Linked DNA regions of Drosophila melanogaster. The protein of the gene in region 2 interacts with the protein of the main gene of each other region in a pairwise test. Each region holds a gene or a part of one and is shown on either strand. Other genes may lie near its edges. The genes, in order: CG13630, CG13157, eIF4G2 and msi.

Region 1 (7,709 bases), on a different chromosome or scaffold from region 2:
GTTCGATGTCTGTATGTACGAGTAATTATGTTTTTGATTTAATGGTCTTTGACATTGTCCCATCCCATCCTCGCCAGCCATTTCTGCTGTTCGCACTGCTCCTGGCGCTGGCTAACTGCGAGCAGCGTCCACTGGTTTTCACCAACTGGCCACCGAAGAGCTCCAAGCAGCTGAGTCGTCCCGCCATTGGAGCTGGAGGTCCTGGATCCGCTGGAGCGCCTGGAAAGCAGCGCACGCTGGTCGTCCAAATACGCAGCGATCAACCGGTGCCCTTGGTACTGAAGGGTCGTCCTGGACATGGAGCGCACAGCCATGCCGCCCATCTGGCCCATCCGCATTCCGTGCATCCTGCACATGTCCTGTCGCACGCCCATTCACATGCCCATCTACACTCGCATCCGCTGATCCATGTGCCACATCAGTACCAGCATCAGCACCTACGCGGACCACCTCGTCCCATGAAGCTGAGTGGTCCGTCGCCCGTGTACCTGAAACCAGCTGGATCTCTAAGGAAACCACTGAAGATCAAACTGAACAATGTGAAGCCCAAGACGAAACCCACATTCGGATACGACAAGCCCTTTAAGTACGAGAAGCCCACTGCTGTGAGCTACAGCGAGCTGCAGAATCTGCCGGTAAGTGGAGTCCATTGAAAATGTCCTGCTCTTAAGATATCCTTATACTGCACATGCCCCCCACTCCCCTGAACATATAACATAACTCCATTCATGCTGATCCCCCACAGCTGGACACGCACAACAACTTCAACACCGAGCACTTTGCACCCATTTACACGGTACCCGCACCGAACCTGGCCGACAATCACCTGGACGTGGAGGAGGGTCATCTTGACACCTCCTACCTGTACAAGCCTCCTTCCCAGACCCAGATCCAAACACCATCCTCCTCAGCCCGTCCCCAGACATATTTGCCACCGAAGTACAGTGTGCATGAGGACGAGACCAATGACCAAACCATTCGTGATCCCATTTCGGGTTCGCAGAAACTCTTTGCCCCAGATCCGGATCCCTCGCTGCCCACCACCAAGATTCGCCCCGCCACCGAATCTTTCAATACGCCCAGCAACAACAAACCGCTGCCCGCCGACGTCCAGAGTAACCATCTGCCAGCCCAGCCATTGGTTCAGATTGTGGGAGCCCAGACGGCAGCCCAAACGGCGCCAGAGATCTATCCCATTCAGTATGCCCAGCCGGCGGTTCACTCCCAGTCCTTTATCGCCGCCATTCCGGCTGCCCACATTCCCATCTATAATCCCACCTACCTGGTGACGCAGTCCAACCAACTGTACTCGGCCCACAAGCAGCAGCTTTTCAAGCCCAGCTCGGAACCGGTGGTGGAAACGGGTTACGTGAACGCCGATCTCACCCAGGAGGTAGCCAGCAATGGACAGATACTGCAGGCAGCCAAGGATCCACATCACAACATCCATCCTGTACTTGATTCGGCGCCACAATATGCTGCTCTTATTGCCGCTCCGGCACTGGGTGATCCCAATGAGGGTGCCTACGAGACGGCCTCCTTCCACCTGCCCAATGTGGCGTCAGCGGTCACTGCCTCCGTTCCGGAAGGTGGCTTCGTGGTGTCCAACTTCTATGGCCATGCCCACGACTCTTCCCAATTGCTGCAGGCCTACGCAGAGGAGGAGGCACGTCGACAGCAACTGGAAACAGAGCAAGCCGCCATTGAGCTGCAAAAGCAGCAGCAGTTGCATCTGGAGGAGCTTAAGGCGCAGGCCCAGGAGCAACAGCAGCAGCATCAGCTGCATCTGGAGGAGCTGAGGGCTCAGGCGCAGTACCAGCAGCAGCAACAGCAGCAGTTCGAGGAACTGCAGGCACAGGCACAGGAGCAACACTTGCAGCAGCAACACCAGCAGCATCAGTTGCAGCTCTTGCAATTGCAGCAGCAGCAACAGCAGTTGCAGCAACCAGTGCAGCACCATCCGCCGCAGCAGCTGCAACAGCAGCAGCAGCAGCAGGTGGCTCAGGATCCAGCAGCAAGTGCATTCGAGGAGCACCAGCGATTGGTGCAGCAGCAACTTGGCGCCAACACGCCACTTCGCATCTTTGTGCCCGACGAGGAGGCCGCCGAATCGGTAGGTAAAATTAGACAAGAAATTCTTCCGTATGCTAACATTTGAGACTTTCCTTGTATAGCGACTGCAAAAGAGATCGGATGATGTGAAAAAGGGCACGGTGGAGGATGTGTCCAGTGCGGGTCGGAACGACGGCGACAGCGAGGAGTCAGCCAAAGATTTGTTCGAGGTATCCACCTCCGTCGAAGTGGCCGGCGAGCATCTCACGGCCAGCAGTAATTAGTTAACGCACTTTTAGTCTTCGACGCTGTTCAAAAATATTTATTTACACACTCATTTGTAAAAAACGCATTCATGTAGCGAGCAGTCGGTAGTTAATAAAAATAACCATTAATTTATTCAAATATTCGTTAGCGTTCTTTTTGAATGGATATAAGTTTTTGTGTTATCGATACATTGTAATGCTGGTGAGATAAAAATACAACTGCACTCTGGTCACACTCATGACAAGTAAAAACACATTTTACCAAAAACATTGTTGTGATTGCACATTTTTCGTGATTTAACTAAGAATTAGAGCCTGATCTACAAAATGATTATTCCAATCCGTTGTTTCACCTGCGGCAAGGTCATTGGCAACAAGTGGGAGTCGTATTTGGGTCTCCTGCAAGCGGAATACACCGAAGGGTAAGTCACGCGGGAAAGTCTCCTTTCCACGCCGCATTTCATCATATAATATATATATATTATATCTTACAATCCAATCCCAGAGATGCCCTGGATGCTTTGGGTCTAAAGAGGTACTGCTGCCGTCGCATGCTCCTGGGCCACGTGGATCTTATCGAAAAACTGCTCAACTATGCTCCTCTGGAGAAGTGAACGGCACAATGGAAACCATCCAAACTGGACTTGGGAATAAAAACTCTAGATTTTATTGTAAAATTACAAATTAAAGCTTGATCGATAGCCCTAGAAGTTATGTATTAGCCCAAGTTGGTCGACCCTCACATCTTGTCCATGAACCACGGCTGTCCGTTGTTCTCGCGACGCTTGGTGAGAATCTCGCATCCGGTTTCGTTGACCAGCAGTGTCTGCTCAAACTGGGCGGAGTACAGGCCATCGGCGGTCACAGCAGTCCAGTCATCTGGCCAGGTTTCAGCCTTCTGGACGCCAACGGAGATCATGGGCTCGATGGTGAAGCAGTGGCCAGGGGCCATTACTCCTACGGCAGAGTTTTCTGCAAAGTAAGGACATTAATAATATTCAAAGTACTTTTAGCCAGCTCGAAAACTTACTGGCATAGTGAGGCACATTGGGAGCTGTGTGGAAAACACGGTGAATGCCATGACCGCAATAGCTGCGCACCACGCTGAATCCATGTGGTGCCACATACTTTTGGATCACGTTGCCAATATCGCGATACTTTTCACCCGGACGCACGAACTCAATGGCCTTGCTGAGCGCCTCGTGGGTGACCTGCACCAGTTTCTTGTGCTTCTCCGAGACATTGCCCACAAAGAAGGTCTCGTTGAGATCACCATGGAAGCCGCGATGATAGACGGTCACATCGATGTTACATAGATCTCCATCCTGTAGAGGACGCTGATCGGGGATGCCGTGGCAAATCACCTCGTTGACCGATGTGCAACAGGACTTGGGGAAGTTGTAGTAGTTGAGGGGCGACGGATAGCACTCCCGTTCGATGGCGGCCTCGTGGACCAAACGATCCAGTTCGTCGGTGGTGATGCCCACCTCCACGGCTTTGGCACCCTCATCCAAGCATTCTCGACCCAATCTGCCGGCCACTCGCATGCCCTCGATCTCCTCGTCGTCCAGCACCTTAATCTTGGTGCCCCGCAGTGCTTCCTCCGAGAGTGAACGTCCTGCTGGATGATCGGCGTAATCTGGACGTTGTATGGCGTTCGGAACTGTTCGCTTGGGAGTCTGTGGGAACGGGCGGAGCTTGCCGGTGAAGCGGAAATGTGGCCATGGATTGTAGGCTCCATCCTGTTCGGCAGAGTTCGAGGCACCGGCTGAGTCAAGAGAATTATATGGTTTCATTGCAATCCAACTCATTAGGAACAAGACTTTCTAAAACTGACCTGCTAAAGCATGAATCGCCTTGTGCTCCTTCCAGAATCCTTTGAAGCACGGCTGCGAGCAGAAAAATGAGCCCTTGATGCCCAACTTTAGGCAGGTGGGACACTGCAGGGTCGCATCCTTGCCGCAGTTGGTTGTCTCGCACTTTTGAGTCATTCTATTTCAACAATTAATGCGAGAAAAATTTCCGTGCCTGCCAAAAATAGTTTAACACAGCGTGACCGCACCGATAACGATAGAAAATACCTGGAAGCTTTAAAATAAATACCTTTTTATACCATTATATGACAATATATAAGCAATATGGCTTTTTGGGAAATTTGCCTTACGCTTCAAGCAAAATCATAATTCTATTGGTTTGATATTAAATACTGTTTTCTGATTAAACATTAAAAAAGTTGATATTAAATAAATACCAAATCAATGTTTAAGAATGGCGCTACATCGATATCCGATGTTTTCCAAGCACCGATAGCCTGGGACCAGTTCTGTTCTTATCGATACGTTTGTGCCAGGGTTGTTCGTCGCCGGCTGTAACGGGCATTAGTTTAAAATTGGAAATAACTTGATAACCATTTTATGTGTATTTAACCATTTAAAATGTTACTATTATGGTAAGTGATTCGTAAATAGTATTCATATGATAATTAACATAAGAAAAGAGTTAATAAGGGCTTTCCTTACAAATGGTTTAAAATCGTTCGAAATTTGAAAGTAAACAAATTAAATATGTAAGTTCTTCGCGGAGATCTTTGATCTGGCTAAGGGACACTGGCCCCGTGAATTCGTGGCCTTTGTTTTCGTCCGTCGGGGCGGCAGTTCAAACGCAGCCGCCTGTTGGGCACTTTTCCGCAGTTGTTCTCGGCGCATGCTCTTGGTGGGAACAGTTTGGACTTGGACTCGGTTTATCTGTCTGCTCTGTTTATGTTCTCAAATCGCGAGCAACTTCGGTCGTGAACGGACGTGCTTTCGCTGTAAACTCGGAATCGGTGTCGCGAAACAAAAGAATATTGGCAACAAACTTGTTTGAGTCAAATGGCCAAACGCAAATATCCGCAAAGGGCAGCAGGATAAATTTATTGGCCAGTGAAGTGAGTGAGTGTCTTGTTTCGAATTGGTTTGGCCAAAAAAAAAAGAGGACCCCTTTAATATTTCTACCTGCAAGGGATGCTGAGATTTCGGCAGAGTTTCGCATCATTTGCGAGCGCAACTTAACTAACTCAACAAGTGAATTCAAGGGTTTTCGCTCCTCCAATTACTGATTTTGTCCTCGTGATCTTCGTACTCGATTGAAATTCGATTACGATCGTTTTGTGTGTGTGCATTGAAATCAGCGTTATCAGTGTCTGCCCTGATCTTTGGTTTTGCGTTGAACATGTTTATTATTATTCATTTCTCTGGTTTCCCGCGCCCAACGACAATAAGTTAAGTAAACACGCTGTTTTTGTTGAGGATGCTGCTGCTGCTGTCTGTTGTCGTTGCTGCTGTATATGTTGCTGCTGCATGTGTTACAGCTGTTTCCATAGTTGCTGTTGCTGCTGTCACATGTGTTGCTACTGTCTCTTGTGCTGCTGCTGTTTCCAAAGCGGCTGCTGATGTCAATGTTGCTGCTGCTATCGCGTATGTTGCTGCAACTTTTTTAGTTACCGCTGTTGCTGCAATCTCATATGTTGCTGCTGTTTCTATGGCTGAAGGTGTTGCTTCTTTGTTGCTGCTGTTGCTGCTGATAGGAGCGCAGCATTCGAATGGCTATAAATAAAAAACGGCACGCGGTGTGTGCAGCAGTGAGAATCCCCCGGCCCGTCTCCGCCGGATTTTCAGCACCACCAGCATCGCTTGATTATTATTGGTGGGTGTTCTGCGTTTTACGCGACCACACACAGGCACACTGCCACACACACACTATTATCTTCGCCGTGCGGTTTCCACTTTTCCGCTTTTCATTCCGTCGTTAAGACGCAGCACATATCTCGTCAATTGGCAATCTAAAGGCCGCCGGCATAATTAAAATAGAATCATTTCTGATTTCGCTTTGTGTCGCACAGACATGTGTGTCTTATTTTGTTTGTTTGTTTTTTCTTTTTTTTTTGCAATACGGAACAATTGCGAAAGTCAAGGTGGCCGCGAAAAGCCGCGAAATAGTAGGGAATTCCTATGCGATGGCAACGAACTCGATCTCTGTGTACCCAACTCATCTTGTCTGGCCTTTTATTGATTTATTTTTTCCCCGGCAGTCAGTCTACTCTTTTTTTATGTTCCCCTTTGTTTTGACCAACGATCCTCGATCTTCGACGGCAATTAAAGGCAGGCCAAAATGGTCCAGGAAGGCAGACATCAGCCTTAATTTGCTTTGGTTGCATTGCCTGCTCGTCTTCGGAACTTTTTCATATGCTGCGCAGTGCGTACTTTGTTTGTTTGTGTGCCAGCCGAATGGAAGCTGATGGAAATTTATGCGTAGAGAAAGGTGGAAGAATATGAAATGGAAAATATGAAATTTTTGAATTGAGTTTGTGGAGGAGTGGGGGGGGGGGGCTGGGGCGGTACACCTAACACTTCCGGTTGCCAGAATATCAACTTCCGGTGGCGTAGAATTGTTAGCGGGGAAATGCTTTGGCACAAAAGACGCATATTGATATTGTTGCCCAGGCTGCTTACGCTCCAATAAGCACACCCACACACACACATAGGCAGACATACAGACGGGAAGGTCCTTCGTCCTTGGGAGCCAGAAAACGCATTTCATTTTTGCTCCAGTGAGTTGGCCCTTGTCTGGCAAACGTTTTGTGGCAACTTGGCCATTAAGCATTTCGTGTTTAAGCAGCAGGATCTTTCCCTCGCCCTTCCCTCTCAGGACGAAGGACCAACAGGACAGTACAGCAAGGAATAAAAATTGCCCGCGTATGCATTTCTTAACAACATTTCTCCACCACCCTCCCCCTTCGCTCCCCAGCGACAACATTTCATTTCATATTTTGTGGCAGCAGCGCTTTGAATAGAATTCATTTGGATTCCCTTTCCCAGGACACCTCGTCCACTTCCTTTTGCCTTTGTCAGCCCCTGGGTTTCCGCATCCCACATCCCAGAACCCAGATCTTCCACATCCCTCATCTTCCTGGAACACGCACTTCAGACTGATAGCGCCTGCTTAACAAATTTCTGCTGTATTTTTCGGTTCTTGTTCTCCACTTTATTATATTCCGTCTTCTTCTTTTTTTGCCATGGCAATGGGGATTTTTCCGCATTTTTAGCTGTCGCAGCAGGGTAAAAATTAAAAGCGAATTAAGTTCGAGGAGCTGTGGAGGCATCTAAAAGGTATCTAAAAGGTGGACAGCCGAAGATAACTGCACTTGACGCCGGATAGACCACAGGCATTATTAAACCCCAAATTTACCTGCCAACCAGGCGGGGTGGCAAATCTGCAAAAGAGATTTGAGTTATTTTATGGATATTACTAAGTATTCTGTATCTGCTACAGCAGCCATGAATTGGGGGGCTTTTTGGAAAGGGTCTTTATTACACATAACAAAAAAATTTATAAAAATATAGGTCTCTATAT
Region 2 (8,362 bases):
TGCTGGTGCACTGGTGGTGAAGCGTAATGGTTCCTCAATTAACGCCGTGGAGATTGCGGATCATGTGGCAAAGAGACTTCCCTCCATTCAAAAGCAGCTCCATGCTGGTGTCCAGTTTACGGATAAACTACCAGCCAATCCCAATGGAAAGACACTTCGTCGGTTGGCGCGAGAGGATTTCAATGCGAAAAAGGGGTCTGTGAAATAAGATTTCAGTAACCCTCCTGGTAAAATTAAAAATTAACTTATAGTGTCAAATGAGAATTTTGCTGTACAAAATTGTTATATTGTAGATTAAAAACAAGAGAGAATGCTATAGTCCATTTCCCTGACTATCAGATACACCTTACTTGTCTGGAATAAATATATGGGAATTATATTAAAAGGTGTGCCTGGTTCTAGGACAATGATATTATTTATTTATTGCTTTTCTTTAATAGCCAACTTTAGCCATTTCATGATGTGATTTGCACAATAATAGGGTGTTGAAAAACTGAATAGTACTTAAAAAAATAATAAAATAATATTTAATAGTTTTTGCGACGAGAGGAATATATTTCAGTTTAGTAGGTGTGTTAAGCTGACTGTTTTAAATTAAAAGCGTCTTTCGAAACTGCTATAAATTGTAAAATTTGAGACTCAGTGATTTAGTGATTAGTGCGATATAACACAGTGAACGTGTTTACTTGAGCTTCCTTTCAACATTATCAAATCCAACTTTACAATGCTTATCAGCCAATATTCCGGTTTGAAGCTAATGCTTTTGATGGTTGGACTGGGAATGGCATCCTCGTATGAAATTATCAGACAATGTCCTGTACATTTCGTTTTCAAAAATAACTATTGCCAGTATCAGCCCATGTAGGGTTAAGAATTAATAACAAGAAATAAATAATTTCTGAACATTAAAGAATATTGGCTGTTTTAATAACAGCATTGCTTACTACTTTTCGAACTTTGTACTGATTAACAGGAAGGGCGCACTTATTGTCACTTTACAAGGACACTCTATTGCTCAGAGCCCGGCAGCCAACCCATAAATTTGAAAGTTCTTTCCCTTTTAAAACAATTTCACTTGGGTGAGAATGTGGCTGTCATAAATAAATGTAATCATAGTTTGGTTAGGCTTCTGGTAAGCTTAAAAATTAGTCTGGAATATATGTATATATTATACTAAAATCTAAAGCTGTTAAATATTTTCCCTACTTTCCGGTTCTAGGAGATTCTTTTTGCAAAGGTTTCTACAATTGATAATAATGTCGTTACTTTGATGCAATGCTGGCTTTCACAGTTAGGCATCATCTGATATGATCCAATCCAATAAATACATTATGTATATAAAAATAAATTTTGATTGATTCCATACACTCTGACGCTTGACTGATTAGATACGAACAATTCGTAGTAAGCATGATATGCATTCGATTAGATTCAATTTACTGCATTTTTGGATGGGTTATCTTTACACCTCGACTGGATGTCCTACCTAGTTATATAATTATTTCATTACAGTTCTACAACGAATAGTATTTTTCTATGAATGAAATTGTTAATCAAAAAATCCATAGAGATAAGGAATGCTTAAGAATTCATTATCTACATAAGTGCAGGTCGTTATCAGCTTTTGTTTACGCCTTCGACTAATCGACTAAAGGTAGGATACGAAAAAAGGTAGATTAGAGAGTTATTCTAAATTCATTGAAATATATGAAAAATATATTCTTCTTAGAGATAAACAAGTTGATGACCCATCAATTTCCACCCAAAATAAAAAAACAGCTGAAGTGAATTGTATGGGTTGGCTTAGGTTTAATTGTTAAGTAAGTGTAATTAGCGAATAGCCCCTGAGTTGTGTTAAGGTCAAGTGATACTAAATTTAAATACTATTTTCTCGCCGGAAGCTCCAAGCAATAACGAGGAGCACCGCGAGCGTGCCAAGTGATCTTTGCGGGGATCCGGCGCCGGAATCACTCGGTATAGCCACTTGGGTTGGCTGTATATCCATATCTGCATCTAGTATCTCCTGCTGCCTCGTCACCTGTTCTACCTGCGGACGAGCATGACCAGGACGTATCTCCACCTTGGGAAGGGGGAAGCAGTAGACCCTTTCGACCTCCACCAACTGGGGCACAATGCTGTCGGAGGAAAGCGAAGTTTCCGAGACGGTGAGAGGCACACATATGGTTGGCTCCTCAGAGGCATTTCGATCCTCGTAAGGAATGCCCACCCGGGTTATATTCAGCGGCACGGTCTCTGGAACACTCAGTTCGCTGTGCATCTGGGCGGAGTTTAGAGAATCCTCGTAGTACTTGTATTCGTCCACAGGATCAGAGACGCTCTCGTCGCGCCGGTCAATGCTCCCCTGAATGCTCCCATCTATCCTTTCGGTGCTCACCGTAAGGGATGTGCTATCGATGAAATCAGTGGGCCAATTCAATAGACCCGCAGTGGATCTAGTGGGCTGTGTGGGAACCGGTGGATGCACCACCGAGGATTGCATAAATCCTGGTACCACGGAGCTCGTTGCAGGTGGAGCTGGCATTGTGGTATCGTAAGGATACGGATACGGCAGGGGCAACCAGTTGTCGTCGGCGGAATTCTTGGAATTCCTTCGATTGTCCGTCGTCGTCTCCACGGACTCGTTGATCTGCTTGGATATTGCCTTCAATATGGGTTCCGAATCGTTGACCCTGGCCAACTCGAATTGTTGTGGCACCTGCTGAGTACTGATGCGCCGGCGTCCATATTTCTCTGCTGAACTTTCACGACTGACTGGTCGGGAATAGGCAGGATTCTGGTAGCCACCAGGGGCAATAGGAGCGGACAGCTCTTCGCTGGAACTTGATGGCTTGGCATCAATAGCTGCGGCATAGAAGTATTTGAGACATGAGCAAACAATTTCGAAACAGAGACCAAATTAAACGCTACATGAAGATCTTTTTAAAAAGATGTTTAGGTTTCAATATAGTTATCATTAATATAAATCAATAACATTAGAGATTAATAATTCAGGTTATTGAAAATATATTTAACCTATTAAATAAAAGACTAAGCAGACTTTAGTTTCATTAAATTCTAGCAGCGTTTGCTTGTTTTTAATGATACTTATATTAATAGGAAATTCACATTCGAAGTTGAATTCTTACCATCTGCCGGCAATCCCATGAGCATGGCTTCCAGGCGTCCGTAGACCCGCTCCTTGGGCTGCGGTTCCGAATCGATTTTCGTGTCCACCTTCTCGGGCCTCTCCGGATGCTCTGGCTTCCAGTTGCCGTACACCACCGCCTCCTGACTGGGCGTGGCCGGCAGGGGGGCGGTCTCCTCGCGCCACAGTGGAATGTGGGTGTGCACAGTGGAACTGATGGGGCCTGCAGCCGGCACAATTGGCCAGTTTCCCAATGCCTGAGCAGGTGCTCCGCCGACTGAAACGGGATTTTGCATATCCGCAATGCGTATACGCCCCCTGGGACGGGGAGGACCCTGCAGCTGCTGTGTGGCAATTAGCTGGCAGCCACTGAGGGCTATCAGCGACCACAGTAGACACTCTTTCCAATGACTAACCATATTTAAATTGAACACGTCTATCTTCTTTTTTTGCAGATGCTGTGCTACTTTTCAATTTTACAGTTCGTTTTTATAGGTTTATTGATTCATTCTCGTTTTCAGCAGCCACAATAACAATCTATTGTTTAATTTTTGGCTTCTGCTATTTTTTCTTTGACGTTGCTTCGATGTCAATGTAATATTCACATCTACAGTTCTTCACATCTTCACTTTTCTGTCGATCAACCACTTCACTTCCCCATTTCTTTTCACTCCCCACAAACAAATATTTGTATTATCGCTACCAGTTTTCGGTGTAACGCTCTTGCGAATTCGATCTTCAGCTTTCTTATAGATATTGTATATTGTAGAGGAAGTATCTCTTTTGCTGGCGATTTGCGATCTGCACGCGACGGCTTGTAAACGGCAACTGAGTTGGCCAAATCAATTCCAGCACCGCACAGGCCCACAAGAAAGATTCTTTCTAATCACGGGCCATAGAAATTTTCCTTTGTTCGGCTTCGTTATTATATGGTTTTTTTTTCGTCTTAATTATGCGCAAGAGCGTTGAAACTTAATGGCGAATAAACATTCTTCGGGGCCCCGCTTTCGGGGTCTGTTTCTACGGCGGTGGTGAAAATGCAGCGGATTTGATTTATATTCAGCTAGAAATAACCGCAGAGTATAGTCAGTGTGTTTACGTTATATGCAAATATGTTAGGTGGCCAAATCGTTTGCCGTTTTGTGGCCCAAAAGGTTATTCGGTTGTTTGTTCTTTCAACCTGATGACAGTGGTTTTTGGTTTCAATATTTGCGTAGCCAAGGGCTACTCCATTCGAAATGCCAAACGGTAAAGGTAGCCTACGTTAAATACAATAATTGGCAGAACGAAGAGGTTTCTCGGCGCGAAATCGGGGCTACGCCAGTAACCCATTCGTGGACCACTTCAACTGGCTTCCTCAGCCTTTCCACATGCAACGCCTGCCCGCGAAGACAAGTCGAATGGCACTGGAAAATCTGTCGTAATTATGCAACTGGCAACCAGTCGAGAGACTCCTCTCGAAAGAAAATTTCCATGGCGGCGATGTAGAAATATGGAAAATTGGAAAACCCAACCTGCATGGAATGGGATCAACAAACTAACGTAATTCGATCTGCGAAGTAAATAATAAAGCAACGAAAGATGCACGGTAAATGGGGAAATACTTTGAGAAAATAATGAGGACCCATAAACGCTTTGTCACGTTTGTCTGAACATCGTGGATATGGTCAGCTGTAAAACGGAAAAAAATAATGCCAGAAAATATGGTAAGTCCATCATCAAGTCGGTTCGGCATAATGGAAACGTTAGTTTACTTTTATTGTTTCAAAGCAGCGAAACTTTCACACTCGTTAATAAAATATTATTAATTTGATTGAGCGCCCCTGTCTGTTGGTTTTATGGTACTTAGTGGGAAATTCAAAAGTTATTAAACGATTATCATTCAGTGTGGTACAGCGATTTGGATTTGGAAGAGCTTGCAGAATGAAATCACAGTCTTGTTGTTGTTGATATAGAATGCGAAGAAGTTACGTTTCCAGGATCATCGGTTCGGTGGGGGAATGGAATGGGCGGAGCTCGTCTATTGGTTCTCCAGCAGACCGATGTACTGGCCATTCTGGTTGGCCACGCGTCGCTCCTCCAGTTTCCTCGCAAAGTCTGGATCTGTCTTGGCCCTCTGCTCCAGACGCTCCTGCTGCAGTTTAATGCCAGCGTAGATCTGATCCAAACCCTTCTGTATCTCCTCGGGAATAGCCGGCGGAGTAGGAATGTGATCACCTGTGGCCCTGAATCCATTCTCGTCGGCCGTGTACTGCACATTGACCAGAGTTCCCTCGGGGGATTGGTAGGAGTACTGGCCATGCTGAACCAACACCCCATTTGGATTGGTGTCGAAGTCCTTGAGGAAACCGGTTTCCTCATGAATGATGCTATTGCCCGTCTCGTATTCTGTCTTGTAGCTTCCATCGTCACTCTGCTCCTTGTTGTACTTGATTATGGGTATCCAGGTGCTGGTCTCTCTGTGATCTTCATGACGATGATGATCTGGTTTGTCATCGCGTGGTATGTTGTTCACATTTTGGTGCTGATGTTGATGGTGGTGTTGTCCTTGGCAGGAAATGGCCAACAGCACAAGAAGTATCTGAAAGGATAAATATTAGCTTAAGCTTACTAACACATGCAAGTCATTACGATTTCCAAACAAAGTAATCACAAAAAAGAATATTTAATCCTATCCTTTAGATGTAATGTAAACCAATAAATTTTATATTTGAGAAGATCGAACTGTTGCAATGTTTGCCAATCATTCATCGAGAATCACTTGACCGATTTTATGTGATTGGTTATGTGAACCACTTACGAGCACTTTCATTTCGCAAGGAGTCTCTGCCGCTTATCCACTGTATTCCACTGATTTGGCCCGCTTTGTCGCCCGTTTGGCTGGCACTGATCGCACTGGCTAGTGAAAGCAGCTCCGTTAGACACTGTGCCAAGCGCGGCCCTATTTTGGTCTTATATAGGCGATTCGCTCTGCTCCGACCCGATCCGATCCTCCTGTTGCACTCGTGTCCATACCCACACAGGTGAGCCTCCATGGGAGAGCGTGCATTTGCTATTTCTGCTGGTGATGGAGTTTCTAATGGAGATGAAGTTGCAGATGGATATGCAGTTGCAGTTGCCGATGAAGATGGGAGGGGATGGGAGTGGAAGTGGAATTTGCCATGGAAGCTCTTATTTTTTGTTAGCTGTCTGATCCGACCGATCGGTAATTGTTGTTCGTAGGCTCGACGACGCTTAAATGCTAAAATCGTAAAAAAAAAAACAATTCACTGTCGCTCTCGTTTGAGGCTTTTTCAGAGGCTGAGGCAGTATGATTTTAAAAGGAATCCAGAACTATGACAAACTATAAGGATAAAGCTAACATTCCATAATAATTTTGGATTAATAATTTGTGTTCGCCTTTTGTAAAATTTGATACCGTCATTATTATATAATGAAAAAAAAACGAAAAAATTGCAAATGCGCACACAGTAAAAAACAAATTATTTCTTTTCGCAAAGCAAAATCAGCTCTAAAAATGTTTAATTTTAATAGCTTCTGACCTTTTCCCTTTTTCTCATGCCCTAATCTTGGGATACTTTATTGAAATAACAAGTTCGTTTCCTAAGTCTTTTGTTTTAACGCAAGAAAATTCTTATGAAATGTTTTTTTTAAACATTTTATATTAAAAATATCTTATCTATTAAACTTTCTTATATATTACTTATTTATGAAGAGTCGTTTTGCCTTGTTAAGCCCCTTTTATACCGGCACCCATCTTAGCCCGGCTTATTGTCGCTGTTCGTATTTGGCCCGCTCGTAGGCCCGGCTCAAATGTCTGCGAAATGTCCGTCCCCCGCCAGCGCGTCCGGTCGTTCATCTTCGCAATGCCGTTATTTAGAAACATGCCAGAACGAGTTTTTTTTGCTTTGCTTTCGTTGTTGACTTGGCCAAAAGCGACAGTCGGCTCTCTCTCTCTCTCTCTCTTGCGACTGAATCGCATTTGAAGTGCATCCAAGATGCTGCTCCCTCGCGGCTTCGGTTTCGGATTCATTTTGAGATTCGCACTCGGACTTAGATTTGGATTCGCATTCTTGTAATTGCGGCAGTTTGGCGGACCCAATACCAACACCAGCGAAGCGCGAATTGTTGTAACAGCCAAAGTGCCTGGCAGATGAGGCAAGACGATAATTGAGTTCAAAGCGGGCCCGTGTCTTGGCAAATGTTAATTAGTTGCCAAACAATTGGGTTAATCTACAGTGCATTTTCGGCCAAAGATAACAAATAAACAAATATTAGGCGTTGTAAGAAATAAGAGAAAAATTCAATCATAGGAGACGATCAACTTGCAAGGGACAATATACAGCGAGTGCAACAACCGACGAAGTGCCGGCAATAAAGCCCGAAATGCTGCCAAACTCCAACGCCTATTGCGACAAACGACTCCTCCTCCCTCTGGGCCATCGTATTTTGGCCAACTCTTCGTCTTCCGCACCCACGACACCAAGTCAAACGCCCGCCAAGCCCCCGGTTTGCAATGTTGCTGCCGTGTGTGGTGATGTTGCTGCTGTTGCTGATGATGCATTGCAGGTTGTGCAACTCGTAGAGTTGCAGTTCCACGCACGGGCGAAAATGAAAATAAAAAACGAAAGCTGGGCAAGGTTAGCTTTCGAGTGCACCACCACAGATGCGCAAATGCTCACCATGAAACCGAACCCCCATCCCACTACCCACAACTGTGGCCCACTCACACATTGACCTGTTGCTGCCGGCATGGGGAAATTGCAGCATCTGCAAATGTCAAACGATTTCACCCTTACATTCTTAGCATTTGTCGTTCTTATGAACAACATTTGACATTTGGGTTCCGTTCCATTCCGTTCGGATTTGGCTTTATGGCAGAGAGCCAACTTGGCTAACAGAACCACGTTGCTGGCCATAAATATTCAGGCTGCTGCCGTGTCGGTTGTGAAATGAAATGCCTTGTCGATGCGGCCAATCTTGAGCTTGACTCGTAAATAATGCTCTAGTGGAGATTTTGAGCCAATCGTCAGCGGAACTTAACTTGACATAAAGATCACGTACCGCTGGTGTGACAAGTGGCCTGGCCATATAACACTTGATTAATTCTTAAGCGGCACAAATTGTCTCAACCACTTCTAGTTCTATCTCGATTTCAGCTGCTGTTAAACACACATTTTATTCATACCAGTTAGTTATGTAGTCTTTGCTTTCCTT
Region 3 (8,529 bases), on a different chromosome or scaffold from region 2:
TTGTCATCGACAGCCGCCGTTTCTTGTTTGGTTGTGGGTGCTGTTGCCGTGGTTGTTGTGGTCAGTGTGCTCATTGATGTTGTGGTCACTGTGGCAGCATTGTTGCTATTTGTGTTAATTTCTAGCGCGGCGTTGCCATTACCATTGCCCTTGCCATTGTTGTTCTGCCCTTGAGTGCTTGTAGTGCTTGTTATCGAGGATTTCTGTTTTTTCTTCTCCAGCTCCCTGGCCCGTTTTTGGGCCTGCCGTTGTTTCTTGGACGAGTTGGTAGTGGTTGTTATGTTCGCGGTGCCGGCAAGCAGGGTAACAGCGGCCGAGATTCGTGAAGCAGTCGGTGGTAATGCTGGAGTTGATACTTTTCCTGGAATCTGCTTTCCATGCTGCAGATTGTTAACAGGCTGCTGTTTAAGCTTACTAGATGCGTGGGTCGGTGTTGAGGCTGTCGACGAAGAGGCACCCGAACTGGTCGTAGTCGAGGTGGCGGCTTGAATACTCGACTTCCTGTTGGGTGAACCCGTTGTTGGCTTAACCGACGCAGCTACAGCTGTGGTAACTATCGACTTGGTCGACTTCTGCTGGGCGACACGCGAAGGTGGCGGGGGTGTCGAGGGGCCAGCTGGTGTTACCATCGACTGGCCTCTGGACAGGATGGAGACGCCTGGGCAACCGCTGGCTGCTGCCTCAGCTACGTCATTCGCTATGGATGCTGGCGTAGCTGTACCTGTGAGCAAACAATTTAGTCGACGTTAATGGATTAATTGTCACGGAACATACTTTGTTTGTTGGCCAATTTGGGACGTTGCTTTTTGGCTTGCTCTTGGAAAAGCACTGGCTGCTGGCACGTATCGGTTGTATCGGGCAAGTCCGACTGTACTAGCGGCAGGCTATTGTGGGTCTCCGTGACATTGTCCACTGCAAGAGGAATCATTAGACTTTGACACTTGAAGCCCGGCTAACTTCAATTCAACATTTCAACGATATTGAGATGCTTCCCTTCGTTTACAAATACAATTCTAAAGAAAATTTGGACGTTTTTATGAACTCACCGTCACTATATTGCCAGAAGCTTAGATGGTCTTCTGCGTTGCCCGAGTGGGCTAGTATGTCTTTTACAATTACGCTGATCTGATCTTTATCCGTTGATTTGGGTGGAGGCGATGGGTGTACGTCCTGACCGACAGCGTCTTTGCAGTACACCGCTTCTGGCACCTTTTCCAAGGAAACGGACTGCTTAAGGGAACTCGCCGGCTTCACAGTCTGCATCTGCTGATCTACCATTGCGCCAGACAATAACGATGACCCCGAGCCAGAGTCCATCAGAGTGGGCGCCTGGTACAGGCACAAGGTACTATTGTCATCCAGAGCTGTGTCCAGATCTGTGTGCTGTGTTAGTGTCGAGTTTGAGTCCTTTTTTATAAAAACCGATCTTTTCCATCCATCCATCACATTCTCCATGGTGTCAGGATGGATGATGGGAATGGCGTATTTGCGCTTGCATACCTTATCGCTGTTGGCCCCCAGTTGCGGTGCTGTTGTTACTGACGGAGTTGGAAGCGAGGTGGTTGAAAAACCACTGGCCACCGCGGGAACTCCAGTCACACTTGGGACACTAGGTAAGGTGGTGGCGCTGTTGCTCTGCAAGTGCGGAGCAAATGTGTGCAGCCCGCCTGGTGGTTGGGGTGGCGGCGCCTGCATTCCAGCCGGAGCCAAAATAGGGGTCGTCATCCCGGCGGGCGGTCCCAATGCCAAACTGGGAATGCCAAAGTTGTGCGGCAGATGATGAAAAGCAGCAGCTCCGTTCAGTGCACCGCTGCGCGAGTTCATCATTGGAGCCACATTTGTCGGAGCGGGACGTTGGGCATTTCCTGGGGCCATGGTATATGCGGTAAAGTAGTTGGTATGTTGGGCGGTGGGAGTAGATCTTTGCCCTCCGCGCATATTGCCGCGATGTGTATTGGCACCACTAACCACGTTGTTTCCAGCAGAGTTTTGAGCGTTCGGCCCAAGTTGGTAGTAAGCTAGTGTCGGCGTTTGAGCAGCTCCCGGTGCCCCGCCTGGACCTTGTTGTTGAGCAGTGGGAGGAAGCTGTTTCTGTTGTGGAGGAGGTGGCGCAGCCGCATAGAATGAAGCTCCAGCCGCTCCGTTAGTGGGAAAGGTCACAGCTGGCTGCATGCCCATCAGAGGTCCGGTCTGATTAATTGGTATATAGGTGGCGGAAATGTAGGGTCCACCCGCATTTCCGCCGGCAGGTGCGATCAGGCCAGCTGATTGTTGAAAGTGGGGTGGTAGAGTTGGGTTGCTCAGGGCACGAGGCATGTTTGACCCCGGCGCCACGCCATTTGCTCCACCATGGTGACCACCAGTAAGAGGATGTCCCAACGTGTTGGAACTGGCGGCGGCGCTCAGTTGGAGGGTAGCGCCGCCGCCGTTGGCACTGTTGTTAACCGCCGCGGAATGCGCGGCGTAGGACGGCTGGGTATTGTAGAAGATGACCGGCTGGTGGTGCGCCTGGGCCTGGGCTTGCACCTGCTGCTGTTGTTGCTGTTGGATGTGTTGCTGAAGATGAGCGGCGGCGACGGCTGCTTGTTGTTGGTGTTGCTGCTGCTGCTGTTGCAGTAAGTGCTGCTGCTGGTGGTGGTGCAGGCCGCTGTGGTTCGGGACGAACACTGCGTGGGACTGCTGCTGCTCCTGCTGTTGCTGGAGGTGATGGTGGTGCGAGTGCGTCGCCTGGTGATGCTGGGCTTGATGGTTGTGGTTCTGCTGATGTGTCGACTGTGGCCTGGTTCCCTTCCCACCCCCTCCCTGTTGAGGGAACATAGGAGGACCTTCGAAGGATCTGCACACGCATACAATCGCACCGTCACACGCACAGGCACACACGGAGAGTTAGGAAAACCGCGGCCAGAGCAAAACAGATGTACAAATCGTAATGTTAGTAAGATGGAAATGAAAGTGAAAATGGAGTTGGCGATGTGGAAAATGCTTGGCGTATTAGGTTTTCAGTCAAAGCCGTGAGTACATGCGAATGAGAGTTAAATCAAACGTGTGCAAAAGCAACCAAAAATGATCATGCAAATTATGTGTTTACATCTTATGACTAAGGGCTATTTTACAAATGCACTCCCTCTTTTACCCTTTTCTTTATTCTTTAATATTTCAATCAATTGAGCTCTTTAATTGGAATGTGGTGTATGATGTCACTCGCGGGGCGTGTATACATCCAAAATGCTTTCGAAGATGGCTCGACACCTTATCGCGCCGGTTTTATCAATGGACTAGTCACTTGCGCAGCCTAAATACTTGTACATAGGTGACACACGGTAACAAGTGGCGCTATTAGTCAGTACTGGCCTTAAAGCGGAACAAAACAAAGGCAGCCACAAAGAAGCAGCTGCCAGCGAGCGTAGGAGGTGAGCTATGGGCTGCTGTCGTCTTTATGGCTACAACCAGTTTGGCATTCCGTCAGCACTTCCATCGGCACAGTGGAGACCGCAAGAACTAGATCACTTAAAACTGTTTACGATATGATTTCTTTTAGTTATAATACTACCAAACGGAATTTCATTGTTGTTTTGCTAAGCAAGCGTTCAATGCTGATTGATAAGAATATGAAGACAAACATTGGCCAATATTCACTGTGGTGTTCTCTTTGGAGCTCTCTGCTGGCCTAGAAAAACCAACTCCGCTGCAGTTTGCGGCCAAGCACCTTCAAGCCAGAAGAAAACCAGTTTTCCAGCAGACGAAGTACGTGCATGGCTCTTTTCACTCCATGGCGAGGAAAACGAAAACCTGGCTGGCAGATAGGCTCACTTGTTTCATGTTTGTTTGTAAACAAAACCAGTTGGAGTGTGTGGGTGCTGCTCTAAATGGGATCGCGATCGCTTATTGGGAGTGCATTCGTACTGGAGGCAGTGTGTTATAGTAGTAGTAGTGTGTTATTAAACTAATAAACAAACAATTAATGTAAATTGCGTGAAAAAGCAAGCAAATACTAGAATGGGAGTAAGTTGTAAGTCAGATTTCGAAACTTACCGCTTCCTGTGCTTCGATTGGTAGATGTGATGATTATAAGGGTATTCGATTTATCCTATTTCTTAGTTCCTAAGGTAGACCTGCCTTTAAGCCTATCCGGCTTCCCTTGACACCTGGTCAAGCTCTACGCCTCCTCCTGCTGCTGCTTATTTGCTCCTCCGTTCCTTTTTCCTATTTCTCGTGGAAACTCCTCGTCTTTGTGGTTGTTGGCTCTATCCGGAATACTACAATAGCTCAGATATTCCATGTATAAAAATACTCCAATTCACTGTGATGCACATGCACATCTGCATTTGTGCAGACGGACGAGGGGCACGTACACGTACATGCGTACAAATATACAAAATAACGTACGGCTAGTGCTAAAATTTCACGGTAATTTGTTCTGTAATTAAAGGCGTTAGAGGAAGTTAAAACGTATGCTTAAATTTTGCAATTGCGAGGAATCAAAATTACAATATGATGAATATGAACACCAAAGCAGCGCCTGCTACGAATTTATTCCCTCTCCTTGTCCAGCTGAGCAGCCTCAGCCCCGGATTGAGAATGAGAAATGGGCAGCCAAGTGCCAATTCGTAATTTGACACTAATGGCAAGGGGACTTTTTGTAGGTTTTTAACCTTTTTCAGATTTTCAGGTAATACTTTTCCCCGAAAAGGCGAGGCGTTGGTTTATGTTTTTTTACCGTTTTGACTTTTTGCCGTTCGCTCTTTTTTTGCGCTCTCTCTGTCTCTGTCTGGCCGCCAGTACTTACCGTTCTGCTCCTGCTCGCTAGCACGCTCTCTCGCTCGCACTCCACACACAAAACTGAGGAAGGAAACAAAAAAAAATGCAGTTCCACGCGGGGAACACGCCAAAAAGTTGCTCTGGCACTGCGCCTTTACATTAGTGCATCGTCTGCTTCACCTCGTTATGTATACACGGCTCACTATCTGTTACAAACAATTTTGTAATGTAAATAGTCTGCAGAAACACGTCCGTTTCGTTTGATGAAATAAGAGTGACCGTTGCACGTAGGGATGGAACATAACTCGATGGCGGCAGCATCGATGTCTACGCAGCGAATATCGATTGTGAAAGTTCCAGAAATATCCCGCAGGAATATTATACATTTTAGTGCGTCCTCAAACCGGGGTGGAGAACTTGGATTCAAGCTTGGCGCGTAATATTTTGAACGTTCTTCATCATAAGAATAATCATTCTTTCGAAATAGAAAAATAGGCCTTATGCAGGTGTTATAATAACAATTATTATATAATGCGCATTGTGGTGCATGACGCAGAATATCATATAAATTCCACACATATTTCGCTGTTATTATTGTTTATTCTAACTTTACATTTTAATTTGAATGATATATTCATAATTTACGCATTCGTAGGACAGCATATGCGCAGAATCCTGTTTCCATTCCATTCGCAACTTCCGGATTGCCTCCCCTTAATGCTCTTAGACTACCCCTCGTGCAGAAATTGCAGTGTTTACGCGCTTGTAGTAAAAGTTTTGCTCTTTCTGTTTTGCCGGATGCGCAACGCCCTCCACTTCCCACATAATCCTTTACTCTGCGCCCTCACCTCCCTCTAGTATCCGTTTTTCCAATGCTATACCCTTCTCTACTTATTACTCCTTATCTCAGTATACACTATGGCCAAAACTTTAAAGTAAAACGAGTGCAAGAATGAACTCGGAGCCTTATTGCAGCCTAAAAAAATTATATACACATAGAGCCCACAAACAGAGTCTGAAGGGATTATTTGGTGGTTGAAAATGCAAAAAGACTAGACCGCAAATGCAAATATTTTAACTTGGCACAACGAAACCGCATACGGACTGTCCGTATTTTGCATTTTTTTTTTTCCATTTCAGTTGTGAAGTCATTTGCAATGCTTGTTTTCCTGTGCGTACTGTCATGTTTTTGTGGCCTTTGCGGTTGCACTAAAGATAGTGTGAGGACAACAGATGAGTAAATGGACGAGGCTCTTACTTTTTTTCAATAATTTTGCTCTCAGCACAAACATTTTGAATATAACGGTCGCTGAGTGCGCTACCTGAGCGGCAGGTTTTGACAATACAATTCGAAAATGAAATTGCAACACTTTCCGAAATTTGGATCAAAAAGATACGATTTTTAAAGTTTTATTTAAATTTTATACATTTTTCAAAGATAATATCGTCTTACATCTTATTAATTTATTTAAAAGTATACTTATTAATTGAATCCCCCTTAAAAAAAAAGCCTCTGCTTTTTGGTATATTTTGAACCCATAATGATTTAATTTGGTATTTCTTTCAGCACCGCATGGTATCTTTCGGGGACGCGAGTGCAGCCACACCAAAAGCGAATTCCTTTACTCCCGCTGCGGTCACACTAAGTCCGAAGCTTGATTCGCCCTGACGCGCGTAACGCTTTTTTCCCGCATCACTTTCCTCCACTTTGGCGCTGAAAAATTCTGCACAACAAGAAGAGAATGCACCAAACTGAAATTGCAACCGACTGCGACTACTGCACCTGAGCCGGTTACGAAATCAACTCTTATATTACTCATATAATTTTGGCATCCATGTAGAAACGAATAAAAATAGTGCGCGAACTGAAAACCCGTTAAAACGAGAATGGGCATAGCCCAAAATAAAACTTTTTCGTTTCTTTTTTACCGTTTATTTAACACAATCAATTAAAATAAAACCAAACACAAGATTTACTCAAAGTAAATCGCGTATAAGCTCGACTACCATAAATGTTAATGTGAAAATTGTGCAATAATTAGAGAAATTTCTAAAAGAAATTCATAAGTGCGGTATTCGTAAATTGCATTGTTTGCAAATGCAAAAAGCAAATGTTATGCAACTATAAGTTACAAGTTAAAACATACAAAAAGTAAACAGAAAATTAATAACCAACCGACAGTACATACAGATAAATGTATATATATAGCGAAGCAATGTGTGTATATAGAGCACTTTGAGACCTCGAAACAAGGACTTCGCCAAGGACTACGGATTACTACACTTTGCCGCCAAGCTCTTTGGCTGGCTTAAAGGAAACCCACCAAAATTAAGAAAACCTAATCTGAAACAAGGTCGAAGCGCGGAATTCCGAACTCCCACCTAAGCCCCACCCCCGGCCTGGAAGCACCTGTGCCCGAAAAACCAAAACCCCGGGCATTCTCACCCACGCACGCAAGCGCAGGATTCTGGTAACCGTCGAGGCATCCAAAAGTTCGATACGAGTGGAAAAATTTGGGAGCCAACGAAATTACTTTTGCTTTGATTCCGCCTTTTGTTTCAATCGCCCAGCCGAAAATGTGGAGGAAAGCGAGCAGGTTGGTCAGGGAAACCACCTCGTGGAAAACGCGTCGTCAGGGACAAGCGGAAGCCCCATCAGCAGCAGTAGCAACAATAAAACCATCGACAAGGACGAGCACGCCGATTGCCCACGGATTACCCATCATCATCACATGGTCGCAGCTCGCTATTGTTGCTGCTGTTGCAGTGCTCCTGCAATGCCACGTCTGTCAAGGTAAGTGAGTGGCACCCATCCTCCATTCGTGTGTCCCGTGGGTGTCCTTCGAAGTGTCTCTGTGTGGGTGCCAACGGACAGCGAGGGGTCACATATTAGGAGCGGAAAGGTCACCAATTAATACTGCAGAATCGGAAAGAAGACGCATAATAATAGCAGGGAATGCTGGTCTATTTTTATTCCAAATCATTCCAATTCATTTAATAAAAAAAAGTGGAGTTTGTTCAGTAATCCTGGGTGTTTTACAAATCAACTCAAGTTATACTTTATTGACTGCACAGCGCTTCACAATAATTTCCTTTCTGTTTACTATGTGACACTTTAATTAAACATTGCTCATACGACCTGTAGGCCAACTTTAATCCTCTCTTTGAACTTTAAAGATTCACAGGATTTGAACATTTTTAACATTTCGGTAGAATAGCTTCCATGCGAATTGAATTTATTGATGAGGCAGCGTGCAAAACACTTTCGCTTTTTTTTTTTGTTGGCATTCATTAAGAATGCTGAGATAAATGCTATCTTGTGGCTTGTCGGCACATTCACCAGATGGCTCAATAAGTGCCAAAGCCGGATCACAAGTATGACGAATTTGGCCTTAGGCAAGAGTGGTTAAGAGTGAATACTTTAACGAAACCTCAATTAATTCGAGTGCCCCTTTTTTTCGCCAAACCTCAAAACCCTCGAGAGTTGCTCAATCTCAATTGAGGCTTGGCGAGTGCGAACTCAATAAAAGGCCGCATGTATCGCAGATGACTTAAACTCCGGGCCATGATGTACTTTTAATGAGTTTTCAACTGGGAAAGTAGCAAGTTGATGCATCATCTTCATACGTAAAGTTTTTCTTGTAATGCCATAAAAAACTTGGCTTATAGCTGAAAAACAAATGCCTGTACAAGCTATTAGCACCCATCACGAGGCTGTAATTAAAATCGAAAAAAATGTCTTGCAAGATTTATTATACAAAGTACTTGGCA
Region 4 (8,658 bases), on a different chromosome or scaffold from region 2:
TTGGCCCACCCTTCATTGGTCTGCTGACAATGTCCTTGTCGTCCTGAGTGACCTGAGCAAAACCGAGCTGAACTGTCGCTGCCATCGACGACAGGTGTGCATGATTTATGAGATTTACATATCAGTCCGCTGGCCGATGAAGCGCGTTGATGCGGCGTCACCGCCAGGCGGACATCGGTGACAAGATACAGATATATATATAGATAGCTACGAAGGGGGGGGCAGCAAGTATGTTAGCCTTGTTCGCCAGAAATAGGCTAAAATGAAATGCAAATTTGTGCACTGATTGATGATATTACGCTTGTTAAGGTCAACACCCACACTTTGCCAAAGTTCCCCAACTACTTTCACACTTCTTCCTTTTTCATGGCTTTTCCCCATATGGCAAATGAATTTCAAAGAGACAGGGAATAAAAGGACAATGAAAAAAGTTGCATACTTTGGGGCTGTTGGGAAAAAGATACTTTTGTACTGCTACATTTCAGGCGGAAAACGGTTTGAAAGGCATTTTAAGTGCTCTACATTTAATATAAAATATATATATATTTAGAAAGAATTCAAAGAAATATAAAATCAAGTATATGCTTTCCTTATACTTTTTGATCACGAAGTTGTATACAATTTTGAATTACTGATGCGGCTAATATTTCTCGAGAGAAAAAATTCCACATGTAATCCGATTGTATAGAGATATTTTCGGAAAGATTTTGAAATCATCTAACGAACAACCCATTTCCAAAAATCCTGCATGTACGCCTCTTTCCCACGGATGCAACGTGCTCATTAACTAGACGTGGCATGCCTGGCAGACGACAGCATCTCGCCTGCCCCTCCGTATAATGCCGTCCGCCCCCATATCATGCAGCAACTGCCCCCTCTTAAATCTGCAGAAAATCAGCGGCAGGCAACATGTGTTCCTGATATTTTTATGGCATTGGATACATACAGTCGGGTTCTCAGTTTCTCGATGGCAAAAGCAGGAGAAGCCTAAGCTGCCTAATTGTTATGTGCACAATTCGCAAGCAACGGGCATAAACAGCACTGTGATTTGCCGACCTACAAGACCATGCCACGCACACCAAGGACACCAAGGACCATATAGGACCAAAGACCATGGCAGAGTCATAAAATTTTCATCTGGCAGTAGTTTTAACGACTCAAATCGGACTTAAGGGCTCACCGAGGACATTAATCTCGGCGAGGAATGAGGAAGAATGGGTCCTCACTGAAATTTGCTAGCGTAAGCATTAATGAAATTGTTGTCATCCTCGTATGACTAAGCACTTAAGAAGTGTTCATAAGTGTTCATAACTATATAAAATTAAGGAATATTCTAGTATTTAAAAAAGGTAACTGTAATGGCTAAGGCATGAGTATATAGGTATTTGTAAAATAATTAATTGCCTAAAAACTTATACCCATTAATATTCACTAATAATTCTTGCATAAAAGCTGCATATATTTCTTCTATTGAGCCCTAAATCTCTGAAAGCGCTTTTTAATTTTATGGCTGTTTCATTATTAGGCCAATAACCGACGTTGCCCGCTGCTGGTTAACACCCTGCTCCTCTGCCCCTTAACCCCAGAAGGCCCCACGTGTTCGATTTTACTGCCGGCCAAGGGTTTCACTCCTTTCTGCTGATCAATAAAACGGAAGCTAAATCAATTAGCCAATGGCGGGGTAGTGGGAAACTTCTTGGCACTTTCATGAACTTCTGGCCGGTAATTAAAATCCACCCACAAATACCAATCTGTACTGGAACAGATTTCACTAATTACTTTTATGACCCAAATTTGCTGAATGCGCAGTTTGCTATAAATTTCTACCTTTGAGCGGTAATAAACTCTGGGAACATCAGTTGCAGACTAGATATTGCCATTGATATAGATCAATGGCTTATTTTGTCCTGTTGTCCTGTATTCCTGAATGGATCTTGGGGTCTTTGGGCAATCTACATCTATTAAAAAGTGTGGTAACTGTCAATAATCTAAAATGTATGGTATTAAAATATTTCAGTTGTTATAATTGTTGTATAATTGTTTTTAATTCTAAATTCCAATAACTTATTCTAAAATCTTTTATAATGAATTAAGAGGTATCTCTTAGTCCAGAAGACGTATGACGACTTTTTCTAAGAACATTTTCTTTTTATTCGTTTCAGTCACTTCTCTCGCCATTTCCGAACTAATCGAAGACGCTTTCTGGCAGAATTTATTGCTGCTTCGGCGGGGGCGTGGCAGGCGGTGGGCGGTTAAGATGTAGACGAAATGGAGGCGTGGCAGGGGCAAAAACTGCTCCTTTGACCTGTCTGCCTCAGTCACTGTTGTTGCTGTTGCTATTGTTATATATTTCTCCTTCTTTATCGCCCGAAGCTCTGCAAACAAGTTTCTTGTGTCCCGACAAAAAAGGAACCAACATGAAAAAATGGACCAAACAAAATAAGGGAAAATATATTACAGAAAAAAACTCTTTTTCGCCGTCAGCTGCTCGATTGCAGAAAACTCGTTGCGCTTGTTGCGCGTTTTGTTGTGAATTATAAAGAAAATAAAAAAAGGAGCAAATTTCATGAAATCTTGCTTAGGAATGGGTAGGCCTTTGATGTTTTTAGGCCGTCTAATAAGCCGCTGAAATTATTGTTTTAGATTTTTTTCTTCTGATTTGGGAGCGCCCGTCTGCGATTTTGCAAAAAATTTGTGTAAATTTTGAATTTTGCGGGGGCGTGCCGACATTTGGTAATTGCGGTGGGTGCAACAGGCGACAAAAACGCTATAAAATAAGCTATAAACTGGGATTAAGTCGTTGTTTAACAATCATATAAAAATGGTAAAGGTAAAATAATAATAAAGTGTGTGTTAAATAAAAATTACAATATTACAAGCATTTCCTTCAAATTAATTAAATTAAATTTTTTATTGCACTTAAGCAACAATTTTAAAGTACCGAAAAATACCAAGTAAATACCAAATGATGCTCATTTTCATTTCCCCACTGAAAAAGCCACAGCAACAACACTACGTCGCAGCATACGGGACCGGAAGTTAGAGAGCGCTCGAGTGCGAACGGGACAACAGTATGAGTCCCAAAAGTTGTTGCTGTCTCCCCAAATGGCGTTTTTTGAGCGACTTCGCCGCAAACAACAACGCGCTCTCAGTTTATGGGAGAGAGAGTTTGCTTGTTTTTGTTCCTTCGCTGGTGGTGTGGTGGGGGCGAGTGAACCGCTTATGTTGTGGGTGGTTGTTGCCATCGCATCGCAAGAGAGAGAACGATTCCGCTCTCCTTTTGGATTACCCTGTACTTCAGAAATTCCCAGAGTATATTGCGTTTGCAGAGTATTATTTTAAAATATATTTTATATTATATCTATTTTTTAAATAAAATTCCTAAAGTAATTTTTTAAATTATATTTATCATTGGGAAGTTAAGCTTAGTGTATCTAAAACTTATTGTATCTAAAAACCGGGTATCTGCAAGTTGGAAAACTCGACCACTTGTTTTATTTTATTATGCTTGCCGCAAACGACAAACAACCGAGAGAGATAGATCGACAAAGAGAGGAAGAGGTATAAAAAGCGAGAGGCGGTGAGAGAACTTTTCCGCGGGGGCCGCTTGTACTTGTATCTGTATCTTTCGGACTCAGTTTGCCTGCGACCGTTACAACAGCCAGTTGATTCGAAGCGGAGCGATTCGTGGATTCGTTTTCATCGTGTCGTCGTCGTTTTGTCGTTGATTTCCGTTTGTGCATGCAGATAAAGCCAGGTCTTAACTTGATTCTGGACTGGGCCGAAAATCGAAATCGAAACCGAAGTGGGCTAATGGAAAATAAACAAACAAACAAAGCTTGAATTTTGTTTGCCGCGCATTTAAAGTAATTCCTATTTGTCGCCCCTAGAAAATACAATAATAAGAAAATCTGTTTCTGACATGTTGCATGACTGAATTAAATTACGTGTTAAATTGTTAAGCTAAATGAACAAACCGCATCCATAAAACGGATGCCAGTGCATGCAAATTAATTAAAAATACGATTCGAAATCTCTCTACACATGCATGCACAACCCATCAAGCTTTATTCAAATCAATGACTTGAGCGGCTAAATAAAATATGTATTTCATGGCTATTAAGATTATAAACAAAATTTATCATTAAATCTAAAATCAACTTTCATGGTTTATTAACTAATGATATGTTTAACTAATGAATGCCAAAACATAAAGCAATTTAATTCGCTATGACTAAGAGACCGATAATCCATACAAAAGACGAGTTCAAGATATGTGTGTATAAATAATATAAAACAATGAACTCTCAGCTCGAGATAAAAAGCCCAGTAATTTGACTAAATAAAACATGTGTAATTAAATAAGTGCTTTACTAATAAATTGATACAAAATTCAATTCAAATGGATTAAATTTATATCAAATTTCGATTCGAGATTGGTGAACATTTGTGCACTGGAGAAAACCATCAATTTTTAAAACAGAAAAATCCATTATCAAACTACAAGCTGTGGTTAATGTTTACTGTGGTTGTTGTCGGTGACTAGCTCAGTTTTATCAACAACAACAATTTTGCGTTTCAGTTTTGTGTATTTCTCAACGAGTTGTGTACGATAAGAACTGAAAGGAGACCTAAGATTTGAAGAAAATCAGAAATGGCTCTAGGGAACTAACGATAATGAAATATTTTACTACAATTTAACAAATTGTCGTTATTTAAAAGAAATAAACACGCATAAGCCCGTGTACAGTTCAAAATCCCATGGAATATGTGACAATTAAATTAATTAAGCTTAAACAACAGATACGATAACTGAACACTTTCCAACCGAAATAAATTTGATTTGTAAATTTCACATAAATCAAAGCGAAATAGCTGGCAATCCTTCCCTTCAACTGAATTAAACAATTACTCTTTGTTTCTCAGTTTTAAGCATTCAAAATCAACAAAATGCGTCAGCTGCGAGCTGAGCTTTAAAAGAAATACGAGCTGAGCAAACAATATAAGATAAACACAGAAAGTCAAGTACAGTCAGTGCTCCAATTTTGTAACCCACAAATATATTTTAGGATTTTCCCAATAAAGTAAAGTGCAAATTGTTTAAAACGACAGCTCAAAAATAAGTCATGGTTTTTTTTTCGAAATATAAATAAAATAGTTTCTGTTCTTTACACTTTAATGACAGTAAGTTAGAGCCTATAAATAACAATTACTTGGAAATACTGAATTTAGTTGCATACATGCTACAAAGTAAGCTCTTAATTGTTTTTTTTTTATCATATTTTTCGACGTTTATAAGAATACGTATTTTATGAAAATCTGCAAAGTTGCTTAAAAAACCTTCAACATTTCCATGTTTGAAGGATAGATAATGGAGTTATCGTTGAGGGTGTTCCACTATTCCAGAGCTCACTTTAAATTGGGGGGAGAACAAAGCGGGCTATAAAGACGCTCGTTCGGCGACTCAGTGTGCTGGCTATATGCGACTATATGGCTATATTGTAGGCCTATTGTCTGGGGAAACTGCATGGAACTGCATATCGGAAATGATTATGGGGGGAGTACCAGCTTGATGACGGTAGAGGCGCGATAAAAGACACACAAAAGGGGGGAGAAAAAAAAAGGTTGGTACGTCATTAACTGACTCAGCCGCATGTTGCATCCAAGCTTTTTTTGTTGCTCCTTTTTCTGCTCAGTATTCACGTCCTGCAGAGAGAGTCCCAAAATCCAGAGAGAGAGCGTGGAGAGCGAGCGGAGAGGGAGAGCGGCAGAGCTTCAGCGCAGCACGGCGAAATTCGCTGAGCTCGCCTTAAACAGTTCGCAGCCGCTCCTTCACCGTTAGTTAAAAAAAATTCCTTGCCCGAAGCGGAAGGATTGTCGAATTTCGTGGATTTTTGCGAATATTTCCCGTGTAATTTTCGTCACGCGTCGTTTATTTGCACCAGCGAGTGTGTGTGAGTGTGTGTATAACGTACTGGTGTGTGTGCGTGTAAGTGACTCAACTCGAAGACATTTTTGTTTCTTTTGTCGAGGGACGCTTCTTTGGTTTTTTATTTCTCTTTCACATATTCGCATATTCTTTTGCGGCGAATTCAATGACGTCGCAGAAATTTGTTTTTATGCCATGAATTTATGTTTCTGTATGCGTGTGCATGTGTTTTTGTTCAAGCAAATCGATTAAATTTATGAAAAATTAATACGAAAACCGGCAGCGAACTATACAAAAACTATGCAAGCGATCCAAGACTCAAATGTTTTTAATTAAAAGCCGTGTGTGAAATATTATCAAACCGCAACGGCAAAAACAACAATATTTTATCACCATTTTGAGAGCGGCACGCACGTGTGTGAGTTCTTGAGTGTTAGTGTGTGTGTGTGTGCAGTGGCGTGTGTGTATGTGTCGAAAAAGCCGGCAATGGCAAAAGAGAATTCAGAATTCAGCATTGAAAGGCGAGAAGCAAAAGGCAAAAGCGAATGCCAAACAGCGAAAGTAAAAGCGTAAAGCCAAAACAAAGAAATGCCAAAGAAAACCCAGAAAGCCAAAAAAAATTGTTAAAATTAATAAACAATAATGCAAATCAATGTTATGGGAAATGGAAAAGCGCTTCAGATACAAATATCAATGAAAACACAAATATTGACAAATACATTTAATGTAAACATTAAAAAGTTGCATGACTATATACTTTTACTAATAAAATAACATAATGCATTCTTAGAAAAAATCCATAAAACATGTTATAACAATAGTTTAATAATACTTAATTTTTTTTCTAGAAAATCTGAAACCTTGCCATCTAATATTGGTGGTATTAAAATGAGTATTACCTAAGAAAAACAAAAATAATTCAGTGCGGTTATAAAATACATAATATTTAACAAAATAGTTGCAAAAAGTCAACAGAAAAGTGCAAAAAGAAAAAAATCTCAAGAAAAACAAAGTATTTGGTGCGACCTAAAGTGATTTTCTCAGCGTGTGTCTTTGGGATAAGCGAAAAACCAGCAAAATTTACTGCTTTGGAAACTCCGCTCTCAACATAAGCACCAACAACAACACCATCAACCCCCCCGGCGGCAGCAGCACCCACCTCCAGATTCAGCACCACCAGGCTCAGCACCACCCCCAAAACAGTGCGAGAATGCTGTTCGAGAATCCGGCGGTTGCGGCCAAGTTGCCCTTTCCGTACAACGTGCCCCCGCCCCTGCAGGCGGCGGCGGCAGCAGCGGCGGCTGTCCCAAATCTAAGGTGAGTTTTCCACTTTCCACGACGGAAAAGCCTGAGATATTACACTGAAAACTAATTGTCACTTATCTTTGATATGAGATTAGATGAAATTGGTTGTATACATTCTTATATGTATGCAGAGTCCGTAAAGTCAGCTTGCTTCATTTCGAGTCTTTGCTGCATACTTTTAGGCGCAACAATACGGATATATAAACAGTTATCTTTATAAAGCCCTTAGGATTATTTAAGAAAAAGTAGATTAATATATATCTTAAATTGTTTCAGTATTTTTGGTTCTGCCTTTGTGAAAGATTAAAAGTTTCTAGAAAACGATACAATCTACTAAGATTTTTTCTACGTGTAGCTGAAAAGTAAGAACTCTGCGCGTCTCAAGGCCATTAAAGGCGTTAATGCGCTTTGAGGTTTTTACTCTCTGTTATTTTTTTTCGCCCAGTTTTTTCCCAACTTTTGCCTCAGTGGCATATTTATGAAAATTGTTTTGCTCTTTGCTTCTTTTTAAATTTTTCATCAGGCACTCAGCCTCCGTTTGAAACGCTGGTAAATTTTCCAACCTATAATTTCACTAAGTTGCTGTCCGTAAATTGCATTCATTTATTATAAGAGATTGAGGCAAATATTTATATTGGGAATGTTAATATCGCTCATTTTGGTCTGTACTGGGCTTCTTATTACAGTTAACAAATCAAGAAAAAGTGTCAATATTTTAGAACAGTTTTAAATAACCTAAAATAATTATAAATAGCTTAGTTACAGTTATTAAGCCTATGCTCATTATGCGAACTTATTGTCCTTACTTTCAAGTCCTTCACAAATAAATTAAAATTAATGAATTGCATTCCACTCCAGAATGTCCGCGATATTTTTCCATTATGAGTCACTGTCAAGTTTTGTAAATTTGTATTTTTTTCGTAATTTTCCTGAGCCCGGTAATAAATGATTGTAGGCTTGGGCGTTTTTATTAATGCCCTGCTTTGGCCCTAAGTGACGTTTTTAATGAACCATTTCGTGGCACAAAAATGAGAGTAAACGGTTTTAAAAAGAGCCTTGCTGGTAAAAGCGAACTTTACTGGCACAAAAAATTAAAGCCGACATTCAGGTTCGTCAAAGTCATTGGAACTTGCTTTACTTTTGATATTAAAAACGATCGTCTGGCGCCAGTCAATTAAGAATTTTAAGTTTTTAATTTTCGCTTCCTCAGTGTTTGCTTTTCAATTAGCATTTTATTTATTATCTCATAATTATTTCGCTCGGCGTGTGTCAATTTTTTTTCCTTTGCTTGGGGAAACTATTCATATTATCCGATTCATATGGCAAAATCATGCTTGGGGAAACTATTCATATTATCCGATTCACATGGCAAAATCATGCATTCTTTAAGTGTTTTGCTGGTACACTTTTTCGATATTGTAGCT

What was found.
Region 1: the proteins of CG13157 (region 2) and CG13630 interact in a two-hybrid assay, tested with the Drosophila melanogaster proteins (one large-scale study listed by BioGRID).
Region 3: the proteins of CG13157 (region 2) and eIF4G2 interact in a two-hybrid assay, tested with the Drosophila melanogaster proteins (one large-scale study listed by BioGRID).
Region 4: the proteins of CG13157 (region 2) and msi interact in a two-hybrid assay, tested with the Drosophila melanogaster proteins (one large-scale study listed by BioGRID).

The regions. Positions count from the first base shown.
Region 1 is NT_033777.3:24,714,973-24,722,681, forward strand, and holds CG13630 (uncharacterized protein), read right to left. Parts: upstream 4,393-7,709; 5' UTR 4,310-4,392; coding exon 4,156-4,309; intron 4,087-4,155; coding exon 3,349-4,086; intron 3,291-3,348; coding exon 3,058-3,290; 3' UTR 2,965-3,057; downstream 1-2,964. Other genes in the region: CG13627 (uncharacterized protein), read left to right, coding at 78-635, 746-2,113, 2,175-2,336; Polr2L (RNA polymerase II, I and III subunit L), read left to right, coding at 2,646-2,740, 2,824-2,932.
Region 2 is NT_033778.4:12,411,657-12,420,018, reverse strand, and holds CG13157 (uncharacterized protein), read right to left. Parts: upstream 3,976-8,362; 5' UTR 3,565-3,975; coding exon 3,147-3,564; intron 2,863-3,146; coding exon 1,877-2,862; 3' UTR 1,788-1,876; downstream 1-1,787. Other genes in the region: CG42782 (uncharacterized protein), read left to right, coding at 725-865; Cpr49Ah (cuticular protein 49Ah), read right to left, coding at 5,166-5,726, 5,946-5,957; CG33627 (uncharacterized protein), read right to left, coding at 8,341-8,362.
Region 3 is NT_033777.3:23,814,195-23,822,723, forward strand, and holds the start of eIF4G2 (eukaryotic translation initiation factor 4G2), read right to left. Parts: upstream 5,044-8,529; 5' UTR 4,787-5,043; intron 4,626-4,786; exon of another isoform or gene 4,418-4,625; 5' UTR 4,033-4,417; intron 2,837-4,032; 5' UTR 2,818-2,836; coding exon 1,047-2,817; intron 913-1,046; coding exon 775-912; intron 722-774; coding exon 1-721. Other genes in the region: CG34355 (uncharacterized protein), read left to right, coding at 7,336-7,552.
Region 4 is NT_033777.3:25,512,484-25,521,141, forward strand, and holds the start of msi (musashi), read left to right. Parts: upstream 1-3,634; 5' UTR 3,635-3,866; intron 3,867-5,839; exon of another isoform or gene 5,840-5,989; intron 5,990-6,777; 5' UTR 6,778-7,139; coding exon 7,140-7,246; intron 7,247-8,658.